Bombyx mori: one gene and its partners. The protein of the gene in region 2 purifies or fractionates together with the protein of the main gene of each other region. This does not show direct contact. Links are inferred from orthologs where the notes say so. Each region holds a gene or a part of one and is shown on either strand. Other genes may lie near its edges.

Region 1 (5,733 bases), on a different chromosome or scaffold from region 2:
TACATAATTAGAACTGCTTTTAAAATTTAATCTAACATTTCTAATGTGATTATATTATTTCCAGAAAATATTCTAGTTTTGACCTCATCCTTGACCAAAACAATTAACTGCAATATCAATAAAGTTTTTATTTGTGTACCTGTGCTTATAAAAGGTTCATGTGGTATATCAGCATATTGTTGGTGATGATCAACATTTCCAACCAATGCTCGATCCATTCTGGCACCAATATATGAACTACGATATTCTGCTGGTATGTCGAAAAGTTCTTCAGGATCTTTTAGTTTATTCTCCAGACCTTTAGACATATATTTTAAATATGGCATCAAATCCACAAGTATTTTCGTAATTAGACTAAACATTATATGCATATATTACCTTTTTGTAGCAAAGGGTTCACCCAAGTAAACATCAACTTTGAAAAAAAGCTGTTGCCCTGCATAGCTGTACCAAGAACATCATCATCTACATGGGGTATCAGTGGAGTGTACTCGCTCTATTAAAACAGATATTTAAAATACATTTATTTGCCTTGTCAGTACTCTAAATACACAAAACTGATATAAATTTATACTTACATGAGAGTGTTGGGAGCCTACTAAGCATGGCGAGTAAAATGTTGGTCGTGAGTAATTTGAAGGAATCAGAGTTAAAAAATACAGTACGTGACAACATAATGCAGCTGTATTGAAACCTGTTTGTGAACCAGAAATGATGTTGCTACGGAGAGCTATCAGGTTTAAAAGAACTGTACAGCACCATAAAAATAATTGCATTACTGGACCTCGAGAGCTACGCCCAAGACGGTGTTTCAATGCTAAAACATATCCAAAGTGCACCAGCCATGCTAAACAGGATGAACCAGCAGCAAAATAGTCTACTGGATATAGAGTGAAGTCAGGTTTGGTAGTAAATATATATATTTCTATGATCGGTATGAAGGCTAAGCCTAAAACAACAAAACTTCGAAATATTATGGCACGTTCTTGAGTTTTTTCTCGTATCACCCAATCTTTTCGATATCCAACAAAATACCCTGATACTATAGCTATTATAAAGTACACTGGTACTTGTAAGAATAGCTCTTGAAAACACACGCTGAAGTCTTTCGTGGCATCATTCCATGGATGAAGCCCTCCAGGCCCGCACATATCTTCCCATTTCCAATTTATATTCAATATAAAAGACATTCTGGTCTTCTATTATCTCTACGATGTTCCGCAATAAGTCACAAGGGCACTGTTATAAGATTCTACTATTTAATTAGAAAGGGTAAGTATGTTCTTTGTAGATTTATAAATAAAACACAATGAAACACGCAACTAATAACCATTTTTCATGTTTCGTCTTTCTATTGTTGATAATTATTGTATTTCTACTGTACGTATCGTAAGTTATCAGTTTACTGTTTAATTTTTATCTTTTTCCTTTTATTTTGAATAATATTTGTTGATTTGAACAAGCACTAGTTTACTTCTCATTGATTTGATGTTAAAAAGTTCAAAATTAATAAATCATCAAAAATAATCAAAATTCAACAACGATGACACTGATGACATATTAAGTGTATAATCTATGCTGATGACAGTGAAAGCGGAGTAGTTTTTTTAAAGGGATTTTATGACCTCGTAACTAAGACCTTTAAGTCAAGTCTTATTTTAATTTATATTCTTATTTTTATGAAAATGATAACATCGAGTGAAATAAAATGAAATGAAGATTATTAATTTGAGACATTAATCAACTGGGATGAAATTAAATGAAATGAAATGAGATGATATAGGATGAAATATAATCTCAGAAAAGTGGTTGTCATTTACTAACATTTTTTTCAGTGGACTTTATGGAGGATCCCGAGAAGTTATGTCCAGCGGCTTTGTTTCATTTTCCCACATTTGTGCACTTTCACAGATATTAAACAGCTAATAAACCACCGTTATTACACATTTAAACCTGAAGAAACACTAAAAAGACAAAATAAAACAAATCACACAGCTTCACTCCTCGCTTTCCCGCCAAAAAGTCAACATAATAGCAAATAAAAAATAAGACAGATTAGTAAAAACAGACAGTATTATCTAATAGGTTGGGGAAAAAGTATTATCGCATTATAGCATGTATGAATAAGCAGGCAAAGAGCGTGGCTTATACACGCTAGTCTGTCGTAGTTATATTTTTTTTATGTCATTAAAAAGCCGGTGTATCTCTTTTTATTGCTTTTTGGAAGTTTTGACGTCAACTCGATGAATAGCACATTGAGTGAGCGTGAATTTCCGCAGACCTTTTATCTTGAAAAAAAGACAGTTATGTTAGCCACAGTTTTATTCCAATGTCCCAACCATCGTGAACAACGATTATTGACATTTAATACACAAAACAACACCCATTTATATATTATACATCACAATAAACTATTAAAAAAACATTAAAATAAAACTTCAAGTGACGCTTAACTCGGGTTGCTGCCAAAACTCTGATCATTTAAAATAAGAATAGAGTAATGGTAGGCCATTGAGATTTTTACTAATGGAATCATTAACATCTAAAAATATTAAATAATTCATGGTTTTAAGTAATAATTATTATTACAATATATAAATATAGAATTGAACAAAAATAAACTTAAAAGTCTGTGAATTATAACCATTAGCAATTTTTTTTAATTTATTGTTCAAGTCACAGACAACTCTTTCGTTTGGCAGTATATACTTTACTAAAAGGTTTACTATAAGGCTGTATGGGCTAAACCCTTTGCCTATTGACGAATTTAAAAACCATGGCACTTAGTTTTGGGATGTTATCAAATAAGTAATTTATTTTTTTGTAAAACAATGCCAGGGTGAAAGAAATGTTGATACATAAACTAAACAACGTGAAAAAATAAGACATAGTTTTTCAAGTACAAATAGTTTTGACATAAAGTTGGCCCACTTTTGGGCATTGTCCTTTCTATAGTAATGGGATCATGTCTCTACCTACAAGATGGCAAAAAGTTATCGAACAAAATGGTACTTGCATACTTTAGTTAAATGTAAATAAACTATTTTCCTATATTAAAAAATGTTGTGAATTTTCTTACAAAATGCGAAGAAACTTTTCTCCCAACCTATTATGTTACAAATACTAAATAGCTTGTGCTATATATATAATATCTAAGATTTGGCTTTATGGTGTAACACTTTTGCCTTTCCAGTTGGAAAAATAAAACTACAAACTACTACTATTATGCTCTACATAAATAATTATTACTAGAGATTTATTGTTATGACAATGGAAAAAATCAACATTAATTTAAAAAATAAATTCAACGAAAGTGAAGTGAATCCTGTAACTGATATCATTGACTACCTAGTAAGAAGTGCAAATATATCCTTTAAGAATTCCCATGCTAATGAACAACCGGTAAGGACATGTGAGAAACTGCAAATGGCCCTTGAAATTTATAAAAGATCACCTGTAGAATTCCTCATGCAATTCGGAAAATATTTAGCTCCTAATCACATAAAATACTTTGAAAATATCTCTAGCTCCAAAGATCAAACATTTAGGAATTACGTGCACTATTTGAGTGACTATCATTCGGAAACAAGCAGACGCAAGAGGATAAAGAACAGAAGATATAAGGCATTACAAAAAATGAAGATTAAAACTGATTATTTTAGTGAAAAACAAATGATGTACAGAAATCCTCTTTTATATGAACAGTTGGTTGGGCAATATTTAACAGATGAAGAAATAAAAGAAAGAGATCGAATAACTGAAAACGCCAGTTTTCTTAACTTAATATTGGAAACTGTAGATCACAACCACATGAGAGAGGTGAAGAATGTGCAAATGCTCGAAGAAGGTATTCATGAAACACCAGAAGCTTCTGAATTTTCTTTGAATGATAGTACTAATGAAAACATAAATTTTCAACACAAAAGAAAATGGGGTGAATTCACTACCCCAGATACGAAACCTGACTATATTCCAGAAAACAGAAAACACAGAGTTATTAGTGCTCCAGAAAAGAAGTTATTGTATGATGAGTTCCTTCAAGAAATGTATAGCAGCTTTATAGATGGTAATGATATTGACATTGATTATAAAACTATTGATAATGATGAGCAGTATGATGATTTAGAGCAGGAGTCACAAGATGCAGAAGATAAATATTTTGATTCTGAAACAAATGATGTTGAGAACTTAGAAGAACACATGCACCTTGTAGAGGAATATGGTCAAAGTAAAATAAATAATCTTGAAAAAGATGACCCTCTTGATGTGTTTATGGAGCATATATCTAAGAAGTTTCAACTGAATTAAATGATTGTTTACTAATATGAAAAGTTCAATAATATTAAAGTAATTATAATCTTTAGGTTAATTTCCCAACCAATGTCTTTTCTTTTCTCATAAACCATCAACATTATTATCAGTTAAAGTTTCTGTCTAAGTTCAACTAGTAAAAAATGAGATGAGAGATTATTTCATAAGATGCAAAACACTGCTCATCCACACTATTTTCACATACTTTTTTGTTGTGTACCATCCAATTTTGGACTCTTCTGAGCACTATAACATATATTTCTTTAAATGAGGTTTGAAAAGAATCCTCAGCAGTAGGTAGTGACCAAGCGATGTACCTTTGAAGTCACAAGCATTAGAATGAAAAAAATAATTCGCAATAAAAAGTGATAGTATTAAAATACAGAAAAAAATCAGATCGGTCTGTCTTTAATTTTGAATAAAGACTATTTTTTATATTACTTTGTTATTTGTACTGAACAAAAATTTTTATTTTCATTGCAGTAAGCTTAGGTAAGAGTTTTTGGTTGACAGCAACTTGCCTGCGTAAAATAGCAGAAGCACATAGGAATGGCTAGTACTTATGATCAACAAGATAGGTTAGGAATATTTATTGTGTTCATGTGAAGCAGGGCACCTAGTGTTGAGTGGTTACTGGAATCCAAAGATGTTACAACGGGAATGCCACTACCCACCTTTACAATTTCATTGACAATAGTGTGTCATCCACAGAAATGAATTAAATTAACGTGGCTCTGGTAAGTTTGATCTGAATGGCAGATTGGCTCTCTTTTTTTTTGCCTGTAATATTTCCCTCATGAAATAACTTAATTCCAACATTTATGAATCATAGGGCCAAAATCTAAGACATGTGGGCTCCCATATAATGTTATGACACAAGACAGTTTTTTTTAAAACCTCGTATAGTCATATGCTCATCTGTCAATAAGCGCAATAAAAACAATTGTTCGGGCCTAAAGGATAAGAATTTATCATATCATTCAGATATGATAAGATTTTTTTAATGAAATACATATTGACACATATCCACGAATATTTTCCACAATACAAGCAAACTGGCGAAAATTATAATTTGCTTTACTAATAGAGCGTCGATAAGCGTTCCGGCTGGAAGAATGGGACAGTCATTACACAATTTGGTTTTCTTTAGCTTAACACCAGGTGGGCAGTGAGCACTTTCAACCGTTAATCTAAAAAAAGTAGTTAAAAAGTGTATGTATGCAATTTTAAGTATAAAATATATCACTTATTTACTGGTGGTAGGACTTCTTGTGAGCCCGCACGGGTAGGTACCACCGCCCTGCCTGTTTCTGCTGTGAAGCAGTAATGCGTTCCGGTTTGAAGGGTGGAGCAGCCGTTGTAACTATACTGAGACCTTAGAACTTATATCTCAAGGTGGGTGGCGCATATACGTTGTAGTTG
Region 2 (6,795 bases):
TAATAGATTTAGCGACAGCCAGGACGGAGCCATTCCGTGTTTCATTAGTCGCTAATAAGCAAATATAGGTCTGTGAAATCTACTTCTGCAATTTCCAATCCAGATTTTATTCCATATATGAGGCCTATAAATGTCGTATGGGTAGTATATGAACGGTTTTATTGGGTTAATTAATATTAAGATTTTTAACTTAACAGTGATAGTCTTTACGAAGTGGTATTGAATTATTTTGTTTCAGTACATTATGAATTTACGTTTATTGGACTGCATTTGAAATGAGCAACATCAAAATGGGGTATCATAAGGTAGTTTTCCAAAAAGTGTTTTAATATATTAGTGTAATTATAAATTTTGTTACTTGGACATATTGAGGATCTCACGGCCTACCTATATGAACGACGTATATGCCGTGGATGGTGGCCCACCTTGAGACATGAGTTCTTAATCTCAATTCTATAGCAAAATGGCTGCTCTAGCCCCCCATGAAACCGGAACGCATTACTACTTCGCGGCAGAGATAAGCAGGGTGATGATATCTATTCTTACGAGATAATAAGACGAGCATTTTCTAATAAAATATTTAGAACCTCTATCTGTTTTTGGTGTTTCATCCCAGCGATTTCTGCGAGAAGCGTGATGAGCCGGAGTTTCGCGCCCCGGAGTGGCGTGTCCAGGAGTGATATGTCCTGGTGTGGCATCCCAAACACGTGCCGATGGCGTGGCACCGGGCGTCTCGCCGCCCCGACCTGCTCCCGGAGTTTCTTCCCATGTGCCTCTCTACCAATAGAATAATATATGTCATCAAGTTTTTTAAATACTACTCGATTGATTGGTTCAATCAATCTAAAATCATATTTTTAAAACCTAAATTATCTATTAAATACCTCAGCATCCCAAGACGGAGTTGTCTGTGAGCTTGGTGTAGTTGATACTGTTTTCTTAACAACTGGTGTTTCTTCAGAACTTTGATCCCATCTACCTTTGCGTTTTGCTGCTGGTTTTATGGATTCTCCATTAGATTGTGGTACTGGTTTGAGAGTTCCTTCCCTAGCTTTCTCTAACAGTTTCTTTCTGAGCTGTAAAGAAATTCGTTTTAATTAGTAATAATAATTATGATTGATATTAGGCAATTTAGAGTTCCTAGTATTACTATTAGTATTAACATTTCCATTCCTAGAATTATCAATTCCATTCATAATTTACTTTCAAAATTACCCATATGATGCTAAGGGTTACTGCAAAAGCAAGATGTATAGTTGTTTCTATAAAATACTTAAACTCTGGAAACAAATTGAACTCACTTCTGTTTCTTCAGCAAGAAGATACTGCTCTTTCATTATATCAGTGTATGTCCTCGATCCGACATCAGGAGTTTTCCCACCTGAAGTAAATGTTAAGATTAGTAGACATGTTGTGTGTGTGTGTATCTATACTGGATATGACAAGTGAAGCTAACCATTTTTCAAATTATAATACTTAAAAAATTACCTTCCCCTGATGCTTAAAAGGCACATGTAGTGTTTAAAAATGTTGACTGTGAAAATTAATGTAATTGAATGAGTGTAAATGAAACAATATTAACTCTCTTCATCTCTAAATTTTAAGGAAGGATTAAAAATGCCAAATATAAGTAATTAATTAATTTTTATTGTTTGCATCAAATTATTTGCACCAATGGCCAAAAGGTACTATGAATAGAAAGAACATTTATGTATGTATAATATAAGACTATACATATTATGTTACCCATAGGAGTGAAACGGTTCCTATCTAAAAAATTCTAACATTACAATAGCAGACCCAGAATGGTGCTTGCCTAATGGTTAGTGATTACTAGTGCTTATAGATATGTGTGTAAGATACCAATATATTTTATTGTAAAGTTTTACTTAAAGATATAGACTGAAGAAAGTGGAATTGTCATAACTTGAAAAACCCAACTTTATATCAGAGTCTTACATATATAATACAACTAGCTGACCCGGCAAACATTGTTTTGCCATATATAACATTTCTAGAGAATTTCTAGTGTAGAAAAAAAAACTAACTTATTGTAAGTGTGTAAGGATGTGGTAAATGAGTGAAAGAGGTATGTAGTGCTGTGAATGATGAGGGAATATATAATAAAAATAACAAAACCTCATTTAACCACATAATACCTCATTATAACAAAAAAAAAGTCAAAATAAAAAAAATATGTTAGGGGTGGACAACCCTAATCACTTAGGGGTATGAAAAATAGATAGTAGCCGATTCTAAAGCTTACTAAATATGCATAAAAAAATTCATGAGAATCGGTCAAGCGGTTTCGGAGGAGTATGGGAACGAACATTGTGACACGAGAATTTTATATATTAGATATGGTACAAAGTGATTTAGTGCAAAGTGCAAGTTACAACATTTCTGCTTTCTCACGTCTATATATTTTGCCACTAGTTAGAATAGGCACTGCATATTTTAACCTGATTTAATCTGCCTAAGTATTTACCTAATGTCAACCTTACATGAGAAAGAAGTGTAAGATTGGAAATCAGAATAGTAGTTTTGATAAATTGTATTATAGTATTGTGTGTGGTGTGTATCTGTGAGCGTGTGTACAATTGTTGAAGATTAATGAAAAAAATTAAAATTAGCCAACCTTCTGCAAAAGGATCATTTCTTTCAGGTGATATAATCATCCTGCGCCTCTTTTGTCGATATTCATCCTCTCTATCAGCGATAGTTGGTCTTCGTTTGTCAGCAAAAGGATCGAATTCTTTATCACTCTAAAACAATATTTTTAGATGACATTTTTAACAAAAATTTATGTATAGCAGTTAACAATTCATTTCAACATACTTGTGCAATGTCATTCAACAGTGAAGCAGGTGCTGTATATCCTGGCCTTTTCTGAGTTATAGGAACATTTTCGAGGTCATCATCTTCTACTTCGTCATTAGCAGCAATTGATGTCACATATCCGTCATATCTGGACTTGCCTCCTTGGCCTGTGCTATCATATATATCGCTGTCATAGTAAGTCTCGCCGAGAGACACGCCTTTGTTGGAACCATTTTCTGGTGCTTCAGTTTTTTTTGATTGTATTTCTTTTATTTGTGCTTCAATGGCTAAAATTATCAATGCAATTTAAATATTATTTAAGCATTTAACATTAATGAGAGTTCATAGGTCAGCCAATGTAAATGAACTAGTCAGGACAAATCGAAAATTCCTAAGTGTGATCATTCCTTCACAAATTGAATCGATAGTTATAAAATATTAAATAAATAAATTGTTTAGCGTCTAATTTTGTTATTGCCTTAACTTAAAGCCACTGATAGATCAAACAAAACTTTTCAAATTTAGAAAAGATAAATATTACAGAAGTGACCCAAAAACTAGAAGTTTTATGGTAAAAGGATTTCAAGCAAGCTTAAGGGGACTTAAGCGTGAAATCATATGTTATTTGATATCTGATGGCTATAACATTGAGTAAATTACAGAAAAACCTTTCAAGCTACACTTTTAAGCAAGCACATTTAGAATAATAATAAAATGGCTGTTATTGTACGCAAATCAATATGTTAGAAGACAACCTTACCTTCATGAGTTCTTGGTATTTTATCCATTTTTAGAAGATTGTAGACATTTATGCAACTTTACGGACAATGAAATCAAATTATTTTCTCTTCTATCGATGATTTATTAGATAGGTAGCGTGAGTTTTTTTCGTAAACACAGACTATGTCCGATTTTATGCATAGGTAGTTACATACTACCTCTTCCTAACCTATGGAAAATGAACTCCATTTCTCATAGAAAACTGTTTGGACTTTTAGGCGGAAACGCGGGGAGTGAAGTTGCGTGATTAGTTTTATTTTGTCTATTTAGTGTTTCTTCAGGTTTAAATATGTAATAACCAGAGGTCGGAGTAGGTAGATTGATTTAAGGTTGTTGACGTCAAACGTAGAGGACAATATGGATAGGCCTCCAAAATACCGGAACTTCATATTTTTGTGATATTTGTTCCGGAATTTTGAAGCATGAATCTGTGTTTAAGGTGAAAAACGTATTAATAATATCAGTATTTTATTTTATACAAAAGCACCTTGGAATAGTTACACCGTATTTTGTCCCTTTCTGTTGAATTAGAAATGACGCTTGTTAGTATGAGACAAAACTTAGACAACCTGTGTGACTCATTGGGTGTTTGTTAGAAAAAACGATGCGCGCACGCTGTGTTTCAGGCATCTCACTCGCTTACCTCGGTTCGTAGTGCGCTTCTAATTTGTGAAATTTCAGTGTTGGGTAAATAATAATCTCACCCTGGCTTCTTGACTGATTTCTTGTACCTTCTTAAAACGATGAATTTGGCTTGTATCTATGGACATCGATTTGTTTTTAGATTGGATCTCTACTTCATGTTATTTTGGTTCAGGTAAGCTTTAATAATTTTCTTATGTAAGTATGTTTTAGGCCTTTTTAAAGCATATATATTCTATATTTTTAAATATAGAAATTGTATCCGATGAGGATTAAAAACATATTTTTTTTCAATTTAAAAAAATAATCATTATGGATAAAATGGCATGTCCATATTATAATCTCTTGACGCAAGTATCTCTTGACGTAAGTAAAATCAATCTACCTACTCCGACCACTGGTAATAACTAGGAGTGGGCGATATAAATCGTATCTAGATTCAATATCTATATATCGCAGCAATATCGTTGAATCCGATATCGCCCCGCACGAAATCTATATATCGATATCGGCCGATACACGATATTGCTCGATGTGATGCGCATCGGCATATCGTACCGATTCGTGAATCGAAATCTATATAACGATATCAGCCGATACACGATATTACTCGATGTGATGCGCATCGGCATATCGTACCGATTCGTGAATATCGGCAATATTCGTTTGGTTCGTATCGAACCGGCCAGAGTGAGTGAGCGCACGATAGGGATATCATGTGATGAATGAAACAGAAACAGGCATTATCCATACAATTGTAAACCTTATATTTAAGTCCATATGTCTGTAGATTATTCTTAGCGTATCAGCAGGATACAATTTAGGAAAGAAGTTTCAATTTTCAACCCTAACTTGAATGCAGTATAGCCTATTTGCATCGTTGAATTTAATTTCACGCGCTTTGACCTTGAACTACAATTTTTGGACAAGTGTTTATAAATACTTAAAAGTTTTTTGTGTTTGATTTTTAAAGTACACATTTTTCTATTTTTAGTTGAATCCAAATAATTTAGTTTATTTCTTGTATTTGTATTAAACTTTTGAAATCTACACTCTTTTGGTATATTTTGTAATTTTAAATTAAGATACAAAATACTAAAAACTGAAAATAATGTAGCCAGTCCTAGTAGCTAAGCCTGATAAAAGCATGAAGGAAAGTTTTTTTGATATTTTTATTTTCATGTTCTTTTTATTACTTTAAAATCATATTATAAATTGATATCAGAAAACCAACCGTATAACGTTGACTTAAATCTATATCTACTACGATATTATATCAGCGTATCGTTTCAAATCTCAAATATCATGAATCGAGAAAATCTACTAGCATCCATCAATATATAGATTCAGAAAATATATAGATTCAATATCCGATATTAATCCTCGATATATAGATACGATTCGATACGCGGCAAAACCGATATTACCCACTCCTAGTAATAACGGAGGTTTATTAACTGTTTAGTATCTGTAAAAGTGCACAAATATGGGAAAAGAAAACAAAGCCACTGGACGTAACTTCTCAGGATCCTCCAAAAAGTCCACCGAAAAAGTCTCAGTAAATAACCACCATTTTACTGAGATTATATTTATATCCCATATCATCGCATCTCATTTCATTTAATATCATTTCTTTTCATGCCATGTTTCATATTAATCAACTTCATTTCACTTCGTATTATCATTTTTCATATATTATGTAGTGCAGTTTTCATTAAAATAAAAATAAAATTTGACCTAAAGGTCTTAGTTACCAGGTTATAAAATCACTTAAAAAAATAGAAAAGGTTTCGAGACTAGAGATGAGATTTATTTGTTAAGATTGTTAAGCTTAAGGCGTAAAGTGGCTGTTTTCCAATTACAGCACAAGAGCGCATTATGCGGCATAATGCTCAACTAAGCTTCAGCATAATTCGGCATTGTGCGTCACTGAGTCACATTATGCTCTGTAATTAACCATTACTTAATGGTAGTTTTCCAATTACAGAGCTTAGTTGAGCATTATGCCGCATAATGCGCTCTTGTGCTGTAATTGGAAAACGGCCAGTATGAGTAAATAAAAACTATGAAAGAAAATCAATATTTAAAACTTAAAAGTATTTGGTTTAGTTGATATAGAAGTCTATTAGAGAAATATTACAAACTTAAGACATTTCATTAATCTGACCTTAGCTTTCTTGGTAATCCTCCTATCTTTCTGTATCTTTCCCAGCTGTTTGACTGCCGACTTGATGATGGCGCACCGTCGCTTAATCTCGTCACTAGATCCTTTAATTATTGAGATAGTAGACCGAGGTAGATGTATCTCTGTAGAACTTGGCAATCAGCTATATTTTGTGCATTGGTTCCATTTCGTTCCGCTTGATTTACTATCATCAGCTTTGACTTGTTCTGGCTCATAGCAAATCCGAGTTTAAGACTGGTATCTAGACGAACTAGTAAAATTTCCATGTCAGTCTATGCGAGCAAGGTAGTGTCATCAGCGTATTTCAAGTTGATAAGGTGCATCCTTGCTAGAATGCGATCAAGAGATAGGCCGACTGTCTGGTGTTG
Region 3 (5,909 bases), on a different chromosome or scaffold from region 2:
TACCCACTCACATTTTAACAAATACTTATACAAGACAGAGGGATAGCATTTTGACGTGATTAATCGATAAGTATTGGCTACACGCACGAAAAAATGTCACGTTCCGCCTGAGCGTGCAAGCGAGAGCACGGAACATGCGATAGAGGCACGATCGGCCCTTTTTTTTCCCTACCTATGCTGATAGCCATGAGAGGCTATTTCAGCTTCACCCTAAGGTTTGTAGGTGAGCTCACGGGGCTCAACCGGAGAGTTGCTAACACTGACCCTAGCAAGAGCAGTGCTTCGCAGAATCTACCACCGGATCGGAAACGCGACCCACTGAGAAGATCCGGCGAGAAACTCAGTGGGCTGTGTCTATGGGTTAATTCGCTCGTCGAGCCCTTCGTCGCAAGCGACGGGTTCGACGAGGACGGTGACCAGAGTCGACCCAAGTGTTGGCTTGTGACACATTTATGTCGCGTGACGTCAGAACTAGCAGTTCGAATAGTTCTCCTACTGACTTTAACGTGTAAAACTATCGTCCGTAAACCGACTTTACAGTTAACCAAAATTTTTTTTTTGGTATTGCCCTGACATTAAGAGTACTATTGTCTCGCGAAATGGACTATAAGAATTTCAGTCATCCGTGCACGATAGACTAATGTAGGACATTAGTTTGTGACCTGTCTTTAGGTCTGCTCTAAATATGTTCTAATGCTTGTTCACCGACTTCCACAATCAATAGCTTATCCTGTAGGCGTTCAAATTCGAATGGGCAATGTTTATAAGTTCGTAATTCTAAGTGGAATGCAGGATAAGCATAAATGAGATAATATCACTATCCTGCATTCTGTACCTCATGCATCAAGGCTTAAGATGAGTGATGATTTATGTAGTGGGCTATGGCAACTACTTAATACCAAGTAGGCAGTCAGCTTTTTTCTTCATCCAGAGCAATACAAAGTGTGCAGCAATTCGCAAAATGTAGAAGTGTAACCTGTAGGAGTTTTCTATCTCGTTCTCTCACAGACTAGATACTATAAAATAATATGCATCTCTTTTTAGTCACTTCTAGAGCTTTAACTATATTAAAATAAGGTTGTATTATTTACTTTTTAGTTTCAAATCATAACCAGAATGAGAACCAAAGTTTTTTTAAATGAAAATTGTTTTTGCGAATGAGGTTGTGTTTTTAAACGAATTTGGAATCTAATACCCAAAGGCCAAAAAAGAGCAAGAAGGAATGGGGTAAAATACATTGAAGATCATTAGATTTCAATATATTTCCCTGTTTTCACATGCTCATTTTTTGCAAGGACAATATAAATCGCAAACCTTTTCTTGTAAAGTTAGTGTTGAGAAAATAAAACAAGGTTATGGTGAAAATTTACTTATAATTAATTATACAAGTTATGGAATTCATGCTGAAGAGGTTGTTTCAGACATAGTTATTAAAAAAAAAAAAGTATTAAAGTTGTTTCATTTAAACATTGTATACAACAATAGTTCCAATTAACATTTTTCTCCTCAATCATTAGTATTTCGGGATATATACCTAAGGTAATTTTACTGCTAACAGAGTAATATGAAATTTCTATTTTTTTGCTTAAAATTTCCCTTTTGCCTGTTATTCTTAAGATAATTCCTTATTCTAACTTATGTAATAATTACTAATTATTCTTTCATTTCTCCTTCTTCATCTTCTTCATCAGCTCCTCTTACATACAAGACATTATTGCATCTTATTAAAACTTCACCTAAATTACCTGGAAATAAAACCCAATACTTAAATTAATAGGGTTCTTAATTTAGTGTTTTGTATGTATGGACTAACAGAACTAACTGAACTAGTATTCAAAACAAACGCCGTTAAAGCTTTACAGAACTCTGCTGATATGACTTCATTAAGTTTGATGTAGCATGGACTGAATTACAATAAAAAAGATTCTTAAAAAAAAATATAAAAAAAAATATTTAAATGTTAAGATTTGATTTCTAAATTTTATTTACTAATTTAAATTAATTAAATTCACAAAACTATTCACAACCAAAAAGTTTGGTTTGGAATCTTGTAAGTGTCAAGTTGTCTCTTGTTATGAAATTTATTGATTTTGTGCATTCTTTGTAGCAAGTACTTTTTTTTTCTTTAAAAGGGCAAATGAACCCCATGACATTTAGTGTTAAGTGGCTTCTAGAATTTATAAGTTTATTACAATATGAATATTAAATCTACTCTTCAAAGCAGAATGCTTGAAAGCTTTGAAGTCGAAATGGGTGCAGAATAGTGTACTCATAATAGACCAAACAAACAATGAACGTCTCATTTTTAATTCAATTTTGGTCCAGGTCCACTACCAGTAGATCTTAATCTCTTGCTTTAATATGTTTTCGTGATTACTTAAAGTTGTTCACTTAAATACTAACCTGTACAAGTTCCATCGACAAGTTCTTCAGTATTAGCAAGTTGCAAATTCATGTAGCCATCTGTTGATACTAACAAACCTTTGTATTCATGACCCCATTTTAATTTAACTAGCACGGATTTACCCGTTAGACTATTAAGAAATGGTTTGGGATTTATTGGCATAGCAGCCGCCATTTTTGCAGGTTCTAAAAAGTAAATTGGATGTTAATTCATTTTCAAACCACCTTTATTGTTTTCATTGCTTATTTAAGAAACATCAGTACTTACTTTAATATCGGCTAACAAGAAATACAAAATATAACCTCAAAATGTATCGGCTTCGCTTCGAGTTCGACGCTAATTTCTACTCATAGATATTTTTTTATTTTTTATTTATGAAAGCATTGAATTTGCAACACGGCCATCAGCTACTCATAGATAATACACCACCATAGATAAAACACAGGTAGTTTAAAATTTATTATAATTAGTTCTTTCTAGGACTTTTCGGCGGGAACGCGAGGAGTGGTTTGTTTTATTTTGTCTAATTAGTCTTTCTTCAGGTTTAAATGTGTAATAACGGTGGCTTATTAACTGCTTAACTGTAACTGTGAAAGTGCACAAATGTGGGAAAACGAAACAAAGCCACTGAACGTAAGTTCTCGAGATCTTCCAAAAAGTCCACTGAAAAAGTCTCAGTAAATGATCACCATTTTACTGAGATTATACTTCATCCCATATCATCTCATCTCATTTCATTTCATTTCGTTTTCATTTCACTTCATGCCATGTTTCATATTATTCAACTTCATTTCATTTCTATAATTTTCATATAAAAAAGTTACGTAACATAAAATTAAAATAAGACTTGACCTAAAAGTTTTAGTTAGTCCAGGTCATAAAATCCCTTTAAAAAAATGTAGTAAAAAATTAATAATAGTATGTATTTCATCTTATTATTATTGAAGCCCAGTTGAAAAAAAAACTACAGAAAATGGTAATTATTTTCTTTAATTTATATAAACATAAAGTCCTGAGAAGTCAGGTCCAGTGATTTTGTTATATTTCCACAATCTTTTACACTTTCAAATATGTTTAACTAATAGAGAAGGGCTTGTAGCGACTAAAACGACACACCTAAGCTGAAAGTTCTCAACGTATTTGGAGGAATTCGCTATTGATAAAATGTGAAGAGAAGAAAAAATATGTGAAAAGCTTCCATAAAACTATATATTAGCAATAAAAACATTTAGATAAGTTTGTTTAATTAAAGATGGTATGAACGATCTTTGGCCTAACTAAAAACCATCAAATAATTGAAAGTAGAGTCGGTTTTTTTATAAAACTATTTTGGGAATAGAAAACGAGAACTTCAACATTGTGTGTTGAAGTGCTTATGCTGAGAGTAGAGCTATAACACCAAACCATTTTAAAGACAAAATGTACATATTGTTAAAATAAATGTTAAATGGATTCGAATAATTAAATGGGCGAAACACTATTTCAATGGGTTTTTGGCTTAAAAGACCAGAATTCAATCTAACGTGATTAAAAAAGTTCCAATAACGTCAAATAGTCAATGTCAAAGTAGTGTTGCAGAATAGTAAAAATTTGATGTGAATCAGTGTTGAATCAATGAAAATATAGATTTTTACGTTTACGATCTATCTATGAGTTTTGCAATTTTTTACATTAATGCACCTTATATGAAAAACATAACCCTGACATATCTATGTAAAAACAAATAAAACATGTCACAATTTACAGGTTTTAGTGAAGATGACTTGGAAAGAATTAAATCTGGCGAAACTGCCGATGAGAGTAAAAACAGTACGTATGGAGCTTGAAATATACTTTTTTTAAGCATATCAATAACTGAACGCTTATTCAGAGTTTTAAATAGTAGCGCATGCGATTAGAATTTGAAATATTAATATCTCAACATATATAAGTAGATCTAAGAACGATTTTTGGGTATAAATCAAAGCTTCTTCAAGAAAATTAGCTATATTCTAAATAATAATGATTGCCAAATGATTCTAAGAGTTTCAAGAAAAAATATAAATGATAAAAGTCACTGAAGCCAAATTGTGCAAGCAAAATTAAAGTAAAAAAAAAGTAAAATTGATCACAAATTTGCTTCTTTATTACAAATGTCAGTGAAGCATAGTCGTATCTACTAGATATCTATAATTTCTACTTCAGTAACATATAATCCACCAATTGGATTGGCCTATATCAGTGCCTTGCACAACCTTATTATTAATGGTGTGTGTAATGCAACAATTTTTACTGCCTATGAGACAGTCTACATTTAATAACAACTACCATTTTAATTACAGAGTACATAAAAAATTCTAATATAAAACGAGTTAAATTATCAATGAAAACCAAGCCATATGAATATAAGACAGCCATTAATCAAAAACAGGATTCAGACGATGGAATAGACAGCATAGATTTTGATAAATGTAAGCTTAGTTTAAAAACACCAACGTCACCCTCCAAAAATGCTAAAATGGAGGAGGACAAACAAAATCAAGTTATTTTGCAAAATAATGTAGAGGGAAATGATGAAGTACAAGTAGATACTATCGAAGCAGACAAGAGTGATATGACAAGTAGTAGAAGGAGTAGTACTGCTCCGGACATAGTGAGAGGTGTTGATTTTCAATATACAGAACATGAACTGGCCTCTCACAAAGTGAAGTTAGGAGAATTGCAACTCAAACAGAAGATTATGGAAGAACAGAATAAGAAAAGAAAGGAAATGATTGCAAAAGCTTTAGCTGACAGGTTCGATTGATGAATTAATTAATTTAAATTAGTATTATTTATGAATAATTATGGTTAACAAATACTTTTTTAATTTTAATTTAACTTAATTTTTGGGCACACTTGCATTTTTAAAACTAATAAAAATTTACTGAGAAATTCTTTTTTAAAATTGAGCACTATAATACTTATGGTTGTGTCAATTCAATGCAATCAGAAATCTGTCTGAATGTCACCTAGTTATCAGTTATCAGAACTGAGAGATCCATTATCAGTGTTGAGATACAAAACAAGATAATTGCTAAACAGATGTGTACAGTGCATATACATTTTAAACTGCTAAATTTATTTAATTTAAAAAAAACATTATTTTCGAAATGTCTTAAAAAAATGGTGAACAAAAAGTTTTTCCAGCTCATCACTAAAACAATATGGTATGTGTCATGTACATTGCCAACAGTGTTATAATGTGAAGTTGTGATTTCAATTTAGAATTATGTTACAAACACATGCAGTGATAAGGGAAAAATTACGTTGAAGTTGATAAAGTTTACATAAATGTTGAAATGATGAAACATAAATGTTTTTATAAATGTTTGCTTTTTGCAATGAAATATTAGTGTTTTAAAAATGTAATATAATAATATATTTGTTGAATAATGTCATTTAAAAAAAAGTACACATCAATGTTAATCATTTAAACTATGAATCATATAAGTTAATATATTTTAATATTTATTTATTAATGATA

Evidence for each region. Proteins that work in one complex are often made in the same cells at the same time.
Region 1: the proteins of splicing factor 3B subunit 1 (region 2) and coiled-coil domain-containing protein 97 purify together in Homo sapiens (co-immunoprecipitation; 4 studies listed by BioGRID and IntAct, counting the BioPlex papers as one, with this or other methods). This does not show direct contact. The link is inferred for Bombyx mori from reciprocal best matches to the Homo sapiens genes SF3B1 and CCDC97.
Region 3: the proteins of splicing factor 3B subunit 1 (region 2) and small nuclear ribonucleoprotein protein F purify together in Homo sapiens (co-immunoprecipitation; 3 studies listed by BioGRID and IntAct, counting the BioPlex papers as one, with this or other methods). This does not show direct contact. The link is inferred for Bombyx mori from reciprocal best matches to the Homo sapiens genes SF3B1 and SNRPF.

Annotation. Positions count from the first base shown.
Region 1 is NC_085118.1:10,064,146-10,069,878, forward strand, and holds coiled-coil domain-containing protein 97, read left to right. Parts: upstream 1-3,182; 5' UTR 3,183-3,264; coding exon 3,265-4,308; 3' UTR 4,309-4,377; downstream 4,378-5,733. Other genes in the region: ATP-binding cassette sub-family C member 10, read right to left, coding at 140-298, 379-496, 579-1,190. UniProt on the Homo sapiens protein: May play a role pre-mRNA splicing through the association with the splicing factor SF3B complex which is involved in branch-site recognition.
Region 2 is NC_085116.1:8,398,318-8,405,112, reverse strand, and holds the start of splicing factor 3B subunit 1, read right to left. Parts: upstream 4,458-6,795; 5' UTR 3,609-4,457; coding exon 3,581-3,608; intron 3,108-3,580; coding exon 2,839-3,107; intron 2,766-2,838; coding exon 2,639-2,765; intron 1,382-2,638; coding exon 1,302-1,381; intron 1,077-1,301; coding exon 885-1,076; intron 778-884; coding exon 588-777; intron 1-587. UniProt on the Homo sapiens protein: Component of the 17S U2 SnRNP complex of the spliceosome, a large ribonucleoprotein complex that removes introns from transcribed pre-mRNAs.
Region 3 is NC_085117.1:15,788,965-15,794,873, reverse strand, and holds small nuclear ribonucleoprotein protein F, read right to left. Parts: upstream 2,750-5,909; 5' UTR 2,672-2,749; intron 2,590-2,671; 5' UTR 2,579-2,589; coding exon 2,404-2,578; intron 1,746-2,403; coding exon 1,654-1,745; 3' UTR 1,357-1,653; downstream 1-1,356. Other genes in the region: RAB6-interacting golgin, read left to right, coding at 4,135-4,213, 4,726-5,179. UniProt on the Homo sapiens protein: Plays a role in pre-mRNA splicing as a core component of the spliceosomal U1, U2, U4 and U5 small nuclear ribonucleoproteins (snRNPs), the building blocks of the spliceosome.